2 linked regions of the Struthio camelus genome follow. The protein of the gene in region 2 purifies or fractionates together with the protein of the main gene of each other region. This does not show direct contact. Links are inferred from orthologs where the notes say so. Each region holds a gene or a part of one and is shown on either strand. Other genes may lie near its edges.

Region 1 (7,786 bases), on a different chromosome or scaffold from region 2:
CCACAAGACCCCTGGGGGCCCAGAGGGGCTGTGGGGCCAGGGGGGCCCAGGGGCTCCAGGGGGAGGGGGCTCAGGGGGTCCCAGGAGTCCATTGGGCAGGGGGCCTGGGGGGACCGGGGGGGGGTACAGGAAGGGCCCCACAAGACCCCTGGGGGCCCGGGGGCGCCGCGGGTCTCACCAGCGGGTCAGGGCGTCCTGGATGGCGCCGGTGAGCGCGTGGCCGAGGTGCAGCGAGCCGGTGACGTTGGGCGGCGGGAGGCACATCATGAAGAGGCCGCGCGGGTTGGGCTGCGCCAGGCTGGCGCGCTGCGGGGCGGCACGGCACGGGGCCTCGCACGGGGCCTCGCACGGGGCACGGCCGCGCACGAGGGCTCCGCCGGGCACGGGGCCTCGCACGGGGCCTCGCACGGGGCACGGCCGCGCACGAGGGCTCCGCCGGGCACGGGGCCTCGCACGGGGCCTCGCACGGGGCCTCGCACGGGGCACGGCCGTGCACGAGGGCTCCGCCGGGCACGGGGCCTCGCACGGGGCCTCGCACGGGGCCTCGCACGGGGCACTGCCACGCACGAGGGCTCCGCCGGCCGAGCACGGGGCCTCGCACGGGGCACTGCCACGCACAAGGGCTCCGCCGGGCACGGGGCACGGCTGCGCACGAGGGCTCCGCCGGGCACGGGGCACGCCCGCGCACGAGGGCTCCGCCGGGCACGGGGCCTCGCACGAGGGGCGTGCGCGGGGCTCCGCCGGGCACGAGGGCTTCAGACAGGGCAACCGCACGGGGGCACGGCTGCGCACGAGCCACGCACGAGGGCCTCGCACAGGGCCGCCGCGTCGCCCTGGGCATTACGCGGGGATGCCGAAACGGGGGCCTCACGTAAGGACGCACGCTCGCCCGGGGCACGTTCGCACGACTCACCCCGTACTCGGGCTTGAAGAAGCCCTGGCGCTCCCACCACGGGTACCAGGCCGCCTCCACGTACCGCGGGCTGTACGACTCGGGCATGGGGCCGCTCACGTCTGCGCCGCCCCGTCAGCGCCGGGGCGCCACGTCGCGACACGTCCCCCCCGCCCCGCTTCCCCCCCCGGCCCCGTTTCCCCCACCCCTCCGCCCCCCACATTTGCCCCCCCGCACCCCAGCCCGGCCCCTCTCACCCTTCTTCTCCCCCGGCGGCGTCTCCCGGTCGTAGGTGACGACCCCGAGCTCCTTCCGCTCCTTCTTCTCCTTCTTCTCCCCCTTTGCTGCCTTCTGTGGGACCGGCACGCAGGTGACGCCCCCCCGCCATGGGGCCGGCCCTGGGCCCCGCCATGGGGCACAGCCCCGACCTGCCGCGGGTCCTATCCCACCATGGGGCCCGTCCCCGTTCTGCCATAGGGCCCACTCCGCCGTGGGGCCCGTCCCCGTCCCACCATGGTGCCCGTCCCCGCTCCGCCGTGGGGCCCGTCCCGCCGTGGGGCCCGTCCCCGGCCCCGTCCCACCATGGTGCCCGTCCCCGCTCCGCCGTGGGGCCCGTCCCCGCTCCGCCGTGGGGCCCGCGCCCACCTCCTGCTGCTGGCTCTTCTCTTTCTTCTGCTGGAATTTCTCCATCTTCTCCCTCTTCTTCGCCTCCTTCTTCAGCTGCGACGCGCTCTTGGCCGGGGGGGCGGCGCCCGGCCCCACGGCGCCCGGCCCCACGGCCTCAGGCTCCTCTGGGGGGCAGCAGGGTCAGGCTCGGCGCCCCGGCTCCCCCGGCCCCCCGCAGCCCCCGGCCCAGCCCCACTCACCCAGGGGGGCGCCGGCGGCCCCCTCCCCGCACAGCGCCACGGGGCCCAGCACCGCCTGGAAGTGGGGCTGGTGGACGCAGGTGAGGAACCAGCGCAGCACGTGGGGGAACGGGGCCCGGGCGGCCGGGCCCAGCACCTGCGCGGCGACACGGACGCCCGTCGGCCCCGGCACGCGGGCGCGGGGACACCCGGACGGGGACCCGACCGGCGCGGGGACACCCACCAACACGGGGACACCCAGACAGGGACCCGACCGGCGCGGGGACACCCACCAACGCGGGGACCCGACCGGCGCGGGGACACCCACCAACACGGGGACACCCAGACAGGGACCCGACCGGCGCGGGGACCCGAACGGCACGGGGACACCCACCAACACGGGGACACCTGGACAGGGACCCAACCGGCGCGGGGACCCGACCGGCACGGGGACACCCACCAACACGGGGACCTGACCGGCGCGGGGACACCCACCAACGCGGGGACACCCGGATGGGGATCCGACCGGCGCGGGGACATCCACTAACGCAGGGACCCGGACGGGGACCCGACCGGCGCGGGGACACCCAGACAGGGACCCGACTGGCGCAGGGACCTGACTGACGCGGGGACACCCGGACAGGGACCCGACTGACGCGGGGACCCGACCGGCACGGGGACACCCGGACGGGGACCCGACTGACGCGGGGACCCGACCGGCACGGGGACACCCAGACAGGGACCCGACCGGCGCGGGGACCCGACCGACGCGGGGACCTGACTGACGCGGGGACACCCGGACGGGGACCCGACTGACGCGGGGACCCGACCGGCACGGGGACACCCGGACGGGGACCCGACCGGCGTGGGGACCCGACCGGCACGGGGACACCCGGACGGGGACCCGACTGACGCGGGGACCCGACCGGCACGGGGACACCCGGACGGGGACCCGACCGGCGCGGTGGCCCGCGGGAACACGGCTGCGCACGCGAGACGGTGAGGCAGAGCCGTGCTGGGGCACGCGGGGACCGGCAGAGGTGCGTGGGGACACAGGGGTCACGCTGGGGGACGCGGGGGGCACGCGGGGAGGACGGGGGCCGGGCGGACTGGCAGCTCACGCGCTGGAAGGGCAGCAGCAGGGCGCAGGTGACGGTGACGTCGGCCAGCGTCACGCTCTCGCCCACCAGGAAGGTCCGCGGCCGCAGGTGGGAGTCCAGGGCCGCCAGCGCCCGCCGCAGCGCCGCCCGCGCCCGCTCCTCCGTCTGCCGCCGGGCCCAGGCGTCCGGGTGGGTCCAGGCTCCGCCCGGGGGCCCCCCGGCCCCGGGTCCTGTCCCGGCTCCTGCCCGGCCCCCCCCCAGCCCCCCAGCCCGTGTCTCTGGTCGTCCCCCCGGACCCCCCATCCCCGGTCCCCCCGGTCCCCTGTCTCCTCCCCCACCGCTGGCCCCCCGTGTCCCCCCCATGTTCGGTCCCCTCAGTGCCCCCCATCCCCCCCGGTCCCCCCCCATGCTCGGTCCCCCCGGTGCCCCGTGTCCCCCCCATGCTCGGTCCCCCCGGTGCCCCGGTGCCCACTGTCCCCCCCATGTTCGGTCCCCCCCGGTCCCCCCGTGTCCCCATGTTCCGTCCCCTCGGTCCCCCCCATGCTCGGTCCACCCGGTGCCTGGGTGCCCCCCCGGTGCCCATTGTCCCCCCCATCCCCAGTCCCCCCGGTCCCCCCGTGTCCCCATCCCTGGTCCCCCCAGTCCCCCCGGTCCCCCCCATCCCCAGTCCCCCCGTGTCCCCATCCCCAGTCCCCCCGTGTCCCCATCCCCGGTCCCCCCGGTCCCCCCGTGTCCCCATCCCCGGTCCCCCCAGTCCCCCCGGTCCCCATCCCTGGTCCCCCCAGTCCCCCCGGTCCCCCCCATCCCCAGTCCCCCCGTGTCCCCATCCCCGGTCCCCCCGGTCCCCCCGGTCCCCCCGTGTCCCCATCCCCGGTCCCCTCGGTCCCCCCGGTCCCCCCATCCCTAGTCCCCCCAGTCCCCCCCATCCCCGGTCCCCCCGGTGCCCCCGGTGCCCCCGGTGCCCCGCACCTCCCCGCCCGGGCGGCGGGCGGCCACGGCGGCGGCGGGCAGCAGCTCGGCCTCGGCGAACGCCACCCACTGGCGCACGAGGGCGGCGGCGGCGGCGCCGCGGCCCAGCAGCGCGGGCGGGCTGAGGAAGAGCGCGGCGGCGCCCGGCCCGGCCAGCAGCCGCCCCGCCGGCGTCCGCAGCGCCGGCAGCGCCCCGGGGCCCGCGCCCGGCGCCGCCGCCACCCGCTCCAGCTCCAGCGCCGCCGCCGCCCCGCCGTACCGGGCGGCGATCAGCACCCGCTGCGCCGCCGCGTCCTCGGGCGGCGGCCGCAGGAAGAGCCGCGGCGCCGCCATGGCCGCGCGCCGGGCCGGCGGGCGGGGGGCACCGGGGGCACCGGGGGCACCGGGGGCGGCAGCGGAGGCGGCAGCGGAGGCGGCACCGGCGGCACCGGGAACCGGAGCGGCGGCGGGGCCGGAGCGACGGCGGCGGCGGCGGCGGCGGGGCCGGAGGGGGCGGGGCCGGAGGGGGCGGGGCCGGCGGGCGCGGAGGGGGCGGGGCCGGCGCGGTCCCGGAGCCGCCGTCGGTACCTGCTGCCGGTGCGTGGGGAACCGCGTGGAGCCGCGCGCACCGCGCATGCGCCGCCAGCGCCTGCCCCCGCCCCGCGCATGCGCCCGTCCCGCCCCGCGCCCCGGGCTGCTCCCGGATTGGCTGCTGCCGCTGCGCAGGCTCAGTCAGCGCTGTGTGTGCGGGGGGGGGGGGGGAGGAGGGGGGCGGGGCGGGCTCCCGGATCATAGAGCCGTGCGGCTCGGCGGGGCAGAGCGGCCACCGCGGGTTACGGAGCGCGTCCGGCGACCCCTGGCGGCGGGCGAACAGCCGGGTCCTCCGGGGACCCCCAATCCCCCCCCACCCGGGACCCAGGCGTCCGAGACCCCCCCCCCAACGCCTTCCAGGGACCCAGGCGTCCGGGGAACGTTACCCTCCCCCCACCCAGGAGTCCAGGGCCCCCCAACTCCCCACCCGGGACCCCGGCATCCGGGACCCCCCAACCTCCCACCAGGGACCCCGGCATCCGGGACCCCCCAACCCCCCCCCGAGGGACCCCGGCGTCCGGGGACGCAGCCACGACACAGCCAGGTCCGGGTGCCCGTCACCAGCGTTTATTGCGCCCCGCCGCCGCCCGGACGCCGGGGCTCACCCCCCCGGCCCCCGCGGGGCTGGGGCGCAGCGGTGAACCCCGGCGTCCGGGCGAGCAGGGGGGTCTCGGGGAGGGCGTCGGGGTGAGGTAGAGAAACGGGGGGCAGCGGAGTGGGGGCCCCGGCATCCGGGCCGGGGAGGGGGTGACGGGGCCCCGGCGTCCGGGGGGCCCCGGCGTCCGGGCTCACTGCTTCTGCTGCAGGGCCTCCTTGCGGGCGGCGTCCTGGAGCAGCTGCGTGTCGACCTCGTCGGCCGGGAGCTGCACGTAGCGCACGACCGAGCCCCGGATGAAGCAGTTCTTCACCGACAGCTGCGGGGGACCCAGGCGTCCGGGCGTCAGCGGGGCCCCGGGGGACCCCGGCATCGGAGGGCCTGGGGCACCGCGGCCGGCCCGGGGGGGACCCAGGCGTCCAGGGTGGTTGGGCCCAGGTGTCCGGGGGACCCAGGTGTCCGGGAGACCCCGGCATCGGAGGGCCTGGGGCACCGCGGCCGGCCCGGGGGGGACCCAGGCGTCCGGGGGACCCCGGCATCGGAGGGCCTGGGGCCCGGGGGGGACCCAGGCGTCCGGGGGACCCCGGCATCGGAGGGCCTGGGGCACCGCGGCCGGCCCGGGGGGGACCCAGGCGTCCGGGGGACCCCGGCATCGGAGGGTCTGGGGCCCGGGGGGGACCCAGGCGTCCGGGGGACCCAGGCGTCCGGGCCTTACCATGTGCGGGTACTTCTCGGGGTCGGTGACGCTGATGTCCGTCAGTTTGATGTTCAGGTACTGCGGGGACGCGGGGGGGTCACGGCCTGGGAACCCCGAGGGTCCTGCCCCCGACGATCCCCTCCACCCCACAGACCCCCGTGGGCCCAACCTGCCCCCCCGGTCCCGTCCCACCGAGGGATCCAGCCCCCCCCCGGGACCCCCGCAGCCCCCTTCCCCCCCCGTGGCCCCTGGCCCCACTCACCTGGTCCACGGAGTGCAGCGTCCCGCAGATGCTGGGGGGAGAGAGAGTTACCCGGACGCCTGGGCCCCGTGGGGGGGGGGTCCCGGACGCCTGGGCCCCGTGGGGGGGGGGTCCCGGACGCCTGGGCCCCGTGGGGGGGGTCCCGGACGCCCGAGTCCCCGTGGGGGGGGGAGGCTGGACGCCTGGGCCCTGTAGGGGTGGGAGGCCGGACGCCTGGGCCCCGTGGGGGGGGGTTCCCGGACGTCTGGACCCCGTGGGGGGGTTCCCAGACGCCTGGGCCCCGTGGGGGGGGTCCCGGACGCCGGAGTCCCCGTGGGGGTGGGAGGCCGGATGCCGGAGTCCCCGTGGGGGTGGGAGGCCGGACGCCTGGGCCCCCGTGGGGGTGGGTCCCGGACGCCTGGGCCCCGTGGCGGGGGTCCCGGACGCCGGGGTCCCCGTGGGGGGGGGAGGCCGGACGCCTGGGCCCCGTGGGGGGGGGAGGCCGGACGCCTGGGCCCCGTGGCGGGGGTCCCGGACGCCGGGGTCCCCGTGGGGGGGGGAGGCCGGACGTCTGGACCCCGTGGGGGGGTTCCCGGACGCCTGGGCCCCGTGGGGGGGGTCCCGGACGCCGGAGTCCCCGTGGGGGTGGGAGGCCGGACGCCTGGACCCCCGTGGGGGTGGGTCCCGGACGCCTGTGCCCCGTGGGGGGGGTCCCGGACGCCGGAGTCCCCGTGGGGGTGGGAGGCCGGACGCCGGAGCCCCCGTGGGGGTGGGTCCCGGACGCCTGGGCCCCGTGGGGGGGGTCCCGGACGCCGGAGTCCCCGTGGGGGTGGGAGGCCGGACGCCTGGGCCCCCGTGGGGGTGGGTCCCGGACGCCTGGGCCCCGTGGCGGGGGTCCCGGACGCCGGGGTCCCCGTGGGGGTGGGAGGCCGGACGCCTGGGCCCCGTGGGGGGGGGTCCTCACCTGAGGTCGTTCTTGAGCTCCACCACGACGTCTTTGCCCACGAGGGACTTGAAGAAGGAGTAGAAAAGCTGCGGGGACACGGACACGGGGGTCGCGCGGGGCCGCTGCTGCCCGCCGCCGCCCCCGGCCCCGCGGCCCGCTCCGCCCCGCCCCCCCGGGCCCCCCCGGCGCTCCCGGCCCCCCCTCGAGCCCCCCGGGCCCCCCCACGAGCCCCCCGGCCCCGCCGACCATCGCGGCCGCCGCTGCCCCACGCGCCAGGGAACCGGCGAGGCCCCGCCCCCTTCCGCCGCGCGCGGAGCAGCCGCCCTGGCCCCGCCCCCGGGGGCGGACCCGCCGTCCTGGCCCCGCCCCCGAACGGAATCGCTGGTCTGGCCCCGCCCCGGGGGCGGACCCGCCGGCCTGGCCCCGCCCCCGAACGGAATCGCTGGTCTGGCCCCGCCCCCAGGGGCGGAGCCCGCCGCCCTGGCCCCGCCCCCGAACGGAATCGCCGCCCTGGCCCCGCCCCGGGGGCGGACCCGCCGGCCTGGCCCCGCCCCCGAACGGAATCGCTGGTCTGGCCCCGCCCCCGGGGGCGGACCCGCCGCCCTGGCCCCGCCCCCGAACGGAATCGCTGGTCTGGCCCCGCCCCCGGGGGCGCCCGCGGCACCCGGCCAGGCCGCCGCCCGCGGGCCCAGGCGTCGGAGGGGCCCCGGCGTCCGGCCGCGCCCCCGCCCCCGCCCATCGCCGCCCGGGCGGGGCCGCCGCGAGCGACCGGGCGCGGGAGGGGGACACGCGGGACACAGGGGACGTGGGGTGGGGACACGGGGGTCACGGGGACACGGGGGACACGGGGACCTGGGGGACGTGGGGTGGGGACACGGGGGTCACGGGGACATGGGGGTCACGGGGACATGGGGGTCACGGGGACCTGGGG
Region 2 (7,840 bases):
GGGCCTCTTTTGTATCCTTTTTTTCTCCAGTAAAAATAGCTGGTTTGAATTTTTACCCTTTTCCCCAGACAGAAGAAAGAGAAATGAAGAGTGCATCTAGCAAACATTAAAAATAGCATGGCAGGTAACCACGCAGGACAAATTCATGAGAGCACTGGGGAGCCTAAGGCCAGCCAAACGCCGCCCAACTCAGACGCCCCTGAGAACCTGGCCGCTGTCCGAGCGCCGCTCGGGAGCGCAGGTGGATCATCCTTCCCGTACAGACATGTTTGCAGTTTCATGTCTGCTTTGGACAAGCAGGTTGTGCACCGTGGCGCCCAGTCTGCCTTGCTGGCACGTACGGAAACCGGGCCAGAGTCTACCCGTAGCGTGCATTTTATTTCTACAATGAAACAGAGCCTGACAGCCCATCAGACTATAAATAGTCCAGGGCACGGAAAGGATAGAGCGCCGTCAGACCTGGCTAATCCGGGCTAGGTTGAGCCACGCGATGCCCAGCCTCTGCGAGACTTAAAGTGATAGCCGTCTGCTGAGGTCCGCCGGCGTCTCGCGCGCCTTCCGGCTCCGGGGCAAAGGGTTTCAGGTCGAACACATTCGATCCTTTTGGATCATCAAGCACTTGGCATGGTTTCCACGCCAGAGGGGAACCACTTCCCCCCAATGCTTGACCAAGCATCTGAAAAATATTACTAATCTGTCTTTAAACCCTCAGCTATGCACAAAAAAAAATAAACCCGGACAGCCAAAATCTGGGGGCGGCTGGAAGTTTAGCGCCTTGTCTGCATCCATCTGGCTCGGGAACGGCTCCCGGTGGCGGGTGAAGCCGTTCCCATGCGTCCTCTTCAGTCTCTGGTACCCCCACCCTTCTTTTAGCCTAGCAAAAAGCCATCACCGAATGATTTGGGATCATTCGAGAAGACAGAGACTCCTCTCTGAAGGGCACCGCTGCCTGCGTGCTGCGGGCAAGGGCTGATGCCCACGCAGCGCCCGCGCCATGCCCAGGGCAGCGGCACCGGCTCCCGCCGACTCCGCAGCCCCCACCTTTGGGACTGATGCTTTAAGCTCTGCTAAAATTCACATTTGCCCAGGCATAATGAATGAGGTTTTTGGGGTTTTTTTTTCCCCCGGAAGGCCCCCTGCAGTTTGCATGGGAGAACGAGTAATCCGCAGCGTCTTAATTTGTATGTAACTGGGCTGTAAACATCGCAAGCTGCCTGTCTGAATTTGCCTTCTCGCCGGGGGTGTTTATTCCCATGAGTAATGCGTTCAGCTCGCCGAGCTGTTGCATTTTTGACTCTGCAAAATGCATCGCGTCTCAGTTTGAAGGCGGGGTTTTTTAGCAACGCAGGCGTTAGCCACAGGGGATGCCCGACCCGACAGCCTCCAGAAGCCCCGCTCTCGCCGACGGGGACGCTGGAGGCGCGATGGAGAAATGCCAGCGAACTGTCTCGAGGCCTGGACCAGAGACTCAGACTGCATGGCCACAACGGATGACCTCTTTGAGCATCTCCCGAGGGCAAAAGCTGCTATTTTCCTCCTCCTTGCCTTTCAAAGCAAGAGAGATACTTGCCTTGAAAAGAAGAAACGTGGGGCCTCATGCTGTTTTCTGCATCCCCATAAGCAACAGGCATCGGACCAGCCAGCAGAGGAGCTTGGGGAGGGAAGGGAAGGGATGAAGACTGTAAGGTTTCCGTCTTTGCATGATGGGGGTTTCGGCTCCCTCCACGCCAGCCCTGCCTTTGCACCCCGCCGTTGCAGCAGCTGTAGGTTACTGTGTGCCCAAACCAAGCGAGCTCAAAGCCCCACGAAACCAGCCGCCCACGGCTCTGCCACGTGGCGATTCCCAGCGCCGTGGCCGGTGCCGAGGGAAAGGGATTGGCCTTGGAGTAAGGTACCAGCTCTGAGGGGATGGATTCGCGGGTGTGATGCCTGGCGGATTTTGGTGCATGTTTACGCTGCTATTCAGGGCGGCTCGGACGTGGGCCAGACTTACTGCTCCTCAGGCCGAGGTGCCGGAGAGCAGAAGGCTTTCGGGGAGCGGGTCAGGCCTGGCAGCTCCGGGCGAGGGCAGCAGCGTTGGGCAGGCAGCGGCGGCGAAGGAGCGGGGCGGCAGCGGGGAACGGCCCAAGGCGCTGCAGCAGCACACGCTGCTGATCCCGCTAAACCACAGCCAGAGGTTTAAAAATAAACTTTGGAGGTGATGCCGAGACGGCCAAGCCCTCCAGCAGCCCAGCCGGCTGGGGACGGCGATCGCTGTCGCCCCTGTTCTCGGAGGGCTCCCGCAAGCTGCTGTGCCTGCCGTCCTCCTGGGCGCAGCGTCACCGCGCCGGACCGGGACGGGCAGAGGTGCCGGGACGGGCGAATCGCTCCAGCGGATGGGAAATTACAAGGCTGAGATAGGGCAAAGACGTGCCCCCTCCGGCATCCTTGTAGCTCGGCGAGCGAAGGTTTGGTGCCAGCCGGGGTGAGGGCAGCACACAGCAGCCCGATGGGCCCAATCCTGCGCTAGCGAGCGGGGATGCTGAGGGGCTGGAGGAGGGTTGGGAACGGCGTCTGCTTAGCAACTGAATCCGGCTCTCCAGGATGAAGCAGCCTAAAAATACCTCCAGACAACGAGGCCTTCGGCTCCGGCTTCCCTAGCTCATCCGGGATGATGGGGGGGTCCCAGTGCCGGGCCCCCGGTGCGGCGTGCGCTCTCGTGGGACAGTATCGCCTCGAGGCAGGGCTGGCTTAGGTTAACCGCCGCCGCGGGAAGGCTCCCGGCCCCGGAGCTCCCGGCGTGGGAGCGCACCAGAGCAAGGTGTCACTTGAGCAGCGTTTTAATAACGGCCGGGCATAGCGTGGCCGTGTCCCCAGCAAATCGCTTGCAGGAGGCTCTTGGCCAAAATTCAGCCAAGTTGGAAAGAGTGGTCTCAAAGGTAAAAACCACCCCGAAAGCAGCGCCGGAGCCCAGGCCGGCTCGCGCAGACCCTGCTCTGCCTGAAACGCCGACCCCGAGCCGTGCAAACCAGCCAGCACCAGATTACAAAATCAGCGGAGGTCTAAAGTCCTGCCCCTAGGAGCATTTCCCCACATCCAGCGCCGAAGCAGCTCGTCATCCAAACGCCTATTTCCTCTGACGACTTTAACTCCTTCTCCGCTCTTCACCTTCCCCTTTGCTATTATAATGTTGCCGCTCTGCTTCTTCGCGCTCCCTTGAGACGCGGTTGCCGCAAAAGAGGCTGCACAGAATACAATCCAGCTGCTCCGTCTGACCCGCTGTCGCTCCGAGGAGCAGCCAAGACAGGCACTTGTCCTCTGCGAAAACTTGCCTCTTGATACGGTAGTCTCGAATGCGTTGCTTTCGGGACGCCCCAGCAGTTTCGGCGCCTGGGCGAGCGGTGGACGTCACACCTGCAGCGGCCGGAGGAGCTGATCCTGTAAATCTCAGCGCGCGCCGAGACGGGGAGAGATCCCATCCCGGGGCGCCGCTTCGTTCCCCAGGCAGGGCAAGCAGCAGGGAGATAAGACGCCTCTGCCCTGTGGTTCAGTGCCATTTTCGGCATGCTGCACAGCACCGGACTGCACTGTTTGTACAGCGAGGGAGTCCGGGGCTGTATCAAGCTGCCGCCCGTCGCTGCGCTCGTTTGGAGAGCCCTTCACGTCCGCGAGGCAAGAAAAGCAATGCAAGGGGACAGCTTTTCTTATTAAACCGCGGCCACTGAGCTGAGAGAGCCCCACTGCCCGCATCTTCTCATCACCGTAGATGAAGGGCTGCTAATGGAAGCATCTGGCCAACAGCACAAGCTTCAGGCGCATCCAGAGGGAGACAGTAATGAGCAGACTCACTGCTGCGCTGACCCGCATCGAAACCTGCGGAATTACATTAGCCATCGATTTGTTTGCGTGCTTTGTATCACGGATTGGTAGCAAAATCGCACGCGCTCATCCTAGAAAGGAGGCACCGGCCTAACAGTTTTCTGTGGAAAGATAAATGCTGAGCAGCTCCTCCGCTGGTTTCTGCAAGGCAATTCCCAGATTTGCCCGGATTAGCACATTGCTTTACTGATTAGACACACACGTTGAACCGTCCCCTTCTGCGCACCGTCCTTCGACCCCAAGGCTTGGCCAAAGGAGCGGAGGGGTCAGCAGGTGGGAACTTGCTTGTGTAACCAAAATTTCTCTAGCGCCTGCTTTATCGCAGCAAGTAGTAGCTGCTAGCCAGACATCTCACGGCTTTTTCGAAGGGGGTTAAACAGACGCCCTGGTCGGACGAGCGACGCCGAGTCGCGCTCGCGTGGCTGACCCTCCGTTACGCCGCCTTGGATGCTCCGTGTCTCCTCACCGCTTGCCCCGGATCGGAGGCTTAAGTTTTTGGCGCAAGCGAACGAAGCAGCCTGGGACTCGCTACGGGCTGCACTCGGGAGACGTGCGTGGTGCAAGGGGGACCCTGGCCCGCGCTCGGCCCGCGGCCGGACACGCTGGGCGCCCGCCAGGCGCCGGAGGGGAGCGTGGCCCTGCGCGGCCAGGAGGCTCCCGCCGGTGCCCACCCTCCCGTTTCCCATTCAGCCGAGCACCCGGGCTGAACATCGAGGCTAATTTATATCCATAGGTGGCAGCAGCTGCCCGCGCTGCATGGTGACCCGGCTCCTGGGCGATGCCACCTCCGGGCAGCCCCGTGGGAGGTTTATACCGGCTGTTTCTGGTTTTTTTTTTTTGGGGGGGGGGGGAGATGGAGCTGATTTTGCAGCAGGCTGGAGGCGGCGATGCAGCGAGGCGGGAGCGCTGGGCCGACGGCGGCGGCGTCCGCCCGTGGGGTCCCCTCCGGAGAGCGCAGCCCGTGTAACAGCGGGGTTTAAGTGATGCCATGTGCAAGCGAAGGAGTTGAAAACTTTCCTTTAGCCTCGCGGAAGGCAAGGGGAGGCTGCTGTGTAGCGGGGTGCGCGCCGCGCAGCGGGCCGCGGCACGCGGCAAGGACGCGGGGCTTCGTCCTCAGGATGCTCTGCGGGAACCCTTGACTCCTCTTTTCAAGTCACTTAGTTCAGACAGAAAAGCTATTTTTCTTCCCGCTGAGAGCCGAGATACTTCCCTCCCGCCGTGAATCCCCAACCGGAGGCTCTAAGGGGCTCCTAACATCCTTCCCGTTGGGGTCTTAAAGGAGAGAAAAAAACACCGAAACGGTGCTCAGAAGCCAGCTGTAAAGAGAGCGGCAGTAAACTCGGAGGCTCTCATTAGAGGAAAAGCGCAGCGAAAATCCGTCCAAATCTTGTCATCCGTCCGCTTTTAAAACGATTGATTCTCGACCGGTTACAAATGAAATGTATCTTCGTCTCCTGAACGTGCCCGGCGCAGGCTTCGTCCCAGGAACTCAAACTGGATTCTTGCCGTCAGCACTGTGATTCCTCCCTGGCTGCTCCGAAGCACCCAAATTTTAGGCTATTTTTTTCATTCTAGGTCAGATAAATTTCTCGAGACCCGAGCGCCGAGGCCCTCTGGGGTCTGAAGTTTGGAGCTGGGACCGATGCTTCCAGCATTTTAGCGATATTTTATTTAGCAGTATGTTTTTATTTATATAGCGTACTGTACTGGTGTCCAAGCGTCGAGGAGCGGTGCTTCAGCGCTGGAGGTGCCTAGGCCTTGTTGCAGGCTGCTTCTTCTCAAACAAGCCTTTCTTATATGAAACTAATACAACCGACGCAGTTCAGTATCCCTTCAAGCTTTATTTATTTATTTTTTTGATTAATTTGAAATGTGGTTGAGTCCGGTATATTTTGCTTGAAATTTTTAAAATCTTTTTCTCCCACGAAATTTCAAATATTGAACTGTGCTAGGGTTTTTTTTTTTTTGTCTTTTTTTCCCCTTGGTTCTGCAGAGCAAGCATTTCGTGAGAAAGGCTGTCTTGGCTCTCTCTTAATGCCGCGTTACATAAGATGGTCATTAGATAGCTTGTTTGTTGTTGGCACTATATTTTCGCTAAATATTAACAAAGTACTGAAACGGCATCATCACACATTTAAATTCTTCAACTTTCTAGGGCTGGCAGTATTTGTAGGCTGCATTTTAACATTTAACTTCCAATGCTAAATTTTAACTTAAGGTTTTCTTTTTTTGTATATGTGTGTGTATATATAGATTTACGTGCATACATATATGTATATATGTTTTTGTTTTGCTTCCTCCTGTTTTGGCTAGGACAAGAGCAACCCCAGCAAACCGCGCATTGGGGAGGGAGGGGGGCACATGCAGCGAGAGCAGATTTCCAGAGAGAGCATCTTTAATGAACCTCGGTTCGAGGCAGTTTTTAATTTGCTCGGGTTTTTTTTGCATTAAAGCCGCCCCTTGCGGCCGCCCGCCCGCCGGGTGCTCGGCGCTGCGCACAGACCCCGCGCGGGTGGGGGGAGAGGGGGCGGAGCCCCGCCATCCCGCCCCTCCCAGGGAAGGGGCGGTGCTTCGCGACCCGGAGTCCCATTGGCGGAGATGCGTCGCGTGGGCGGGGCCAGAGGGGATATAAAGAGCGCGGCTGGGGCGGGGCCGGCAGCGCTGCGTCGGGGTCCGTGCGGAGCGGACGCGCACGCCAGCGCTCCCCGGGCGGCGGCGGCGCCGCCGCCGAGGGCCCCGCGGCCCTAGCGCCGTCGCCTCGCTGTCACCTCGCCTCGCCCCCTACCCAGGTGCGCGGGGGGGTCGGGGCGTTGCTGGGGGGTTCTGGGCGCTGCGCACTGTGCTGGGGGTGCTCGGTGCTGCATGCTGTGCTCGGCGTCGCTGGGGGTGCCCGGCGCTGCATGCGGTGCTGGGGGCTGCTCAGGGTGTCCGGCGCTGCCCATCTCGCCCCTGCAAAGCAGGCAGCGCCGTGCACGGTCCGGGGAGCGAGAGCACCCACTGCCTCTGCCCCTCCCGGTGGGGGTTTGGCTCCGGGCCCAGCGCCCTTCGGGGCACACCGAGCTGGGGGCTCATGTCCCGCCACGGTTTGGGCAACTCGGGGCGCCTGGCGATGGTGGGGTTTCGCCTGTGCGCTGGGCTTGACTGCCCGTGCCTCAGTTTCCCACCTCGATTAAGGCCAAGGCTGCTGGTGTGCTTGCAGCCCGGGGACCACGTGCCAGCCCGTGGGGACACAAGTGTGTGGAAGCATTGAGCAGCAGGAAGCCCCCAGAGTGGGTCATCCTTAGAGGAAAGCCTCATCTGGAGTGTGGGAAGGCTTGAACTGGCGCTTTGCGGAGGTGGCAGGGCCGCTGGCTCATCCCCGCTTCGCCCAGCCCGCGGCCGCTGGTGCGAAAGCGACCGCAGCAGGGAGGCGACGTGCCCCGAGCATCGCGAGGGCGGCGGCTGGGGCCGTTTGCAGGCGGCCCAAAACGCGGTAGCCCAGGCAGGCGGTTTTGGGGCGCGTGCCGGCGGTCTCGTGAGCGTCGTCGCACTGTCGCTCGCCTTGGCGGCCGCGTGCGTTTGGCTGCCGGAGGGGCTGCTCGCTTCGCCTGTCCCCAGGAACGCCGAAAGCAAGCACCCGCGCCGGCGCTGCAGGCTGGGGCACGCCAGCACCCCGCGCTCCCATGCACAGCCCTATCTCTACCTGCTGGATTGCGCAGCGTGCCCGACTCGATCGCTTCTGCTCGGAGGCAGCCGGCACCCGAATATTGCTGCGTGCAATAAGCAGTGTTTCACCCCTTGTGCCCATCGCGCCCCCCCCCCCCATTAATGCCAGCAGAGAGGTGGGGAGTTGCCGCTGCCTGGGGGCTGCCGTGCGCGGAGCCCCCCCTCCCGCGGGCGCCGGTGGAGACCTGCCCACCCACCCGGGCAACGCGCTCCTCCGCTTATGCAACGTCCTCTGGCGACTTCATGGCTCTGGGTTGTTGATGCAGCGCAAGTAACT

The links. The genes of interacting proteins can lie anywhere in the genome.
Region 1: the proteins of EEF1A2 (region 2) and VARS1 purify together in Homo sapiens (co-immunoprecipitation; 3 studies listed by BioGRID and IntAct, counting the BioPlex papers as one, with this or other methods). This does not show direct contact. The link is inferred for Struthio camelus from reciprocal best matches to the Homo sapiens genes EEF1A2 and VARS1.

The regions. Positions count from the first base shown.
Region 1 is NW_027182645.1:8,800-16,585, reverse strand, and holds the start of VARS1 (valine--tRNA ligase), read right to left. Parts: upstream 3,003-7,786; 5' UTR 2,859-3,002; intron 1,895-2,858; 5' UTR 1,759-1,894; intron 1,684-1,758; 5' UTR 1,583-1,683; coding exon 1,538-1,582; intron 1,244-1,537; coding exon 1,150-1,243; intron 1,015-1,149; coding exon 914-1,014; intron 307-913; coding exon 179-306; intron 1-178. Other genes in the region: U6 snRNA-associated Sm-like protein LSm2, read right to left, coding at 5,165-5,290, 5,687-5,746, 5,931-5,961, 6,874-6,941, 7,102-7,104. UniProt on the Homo sapiens protein: Catalyzes the attachment of valine to tRNA(Val).
Region 2 is NC_090959.1:17,050,811-17,058,650, forward strand, and holds the start of EEF1A2 (elongation factor 1-alpha 2), read right to left. Parts: upstream 3,001-7,840; 5' UTR 1-3,000. UniProt on the Homo sapiens protein: Translation elongation factor that catalyzes the GTP-dependent binding of aminoacyl-tRNA (aa-tRNA) to the A-site of ribosomes during the elongation phase of protein synthesis.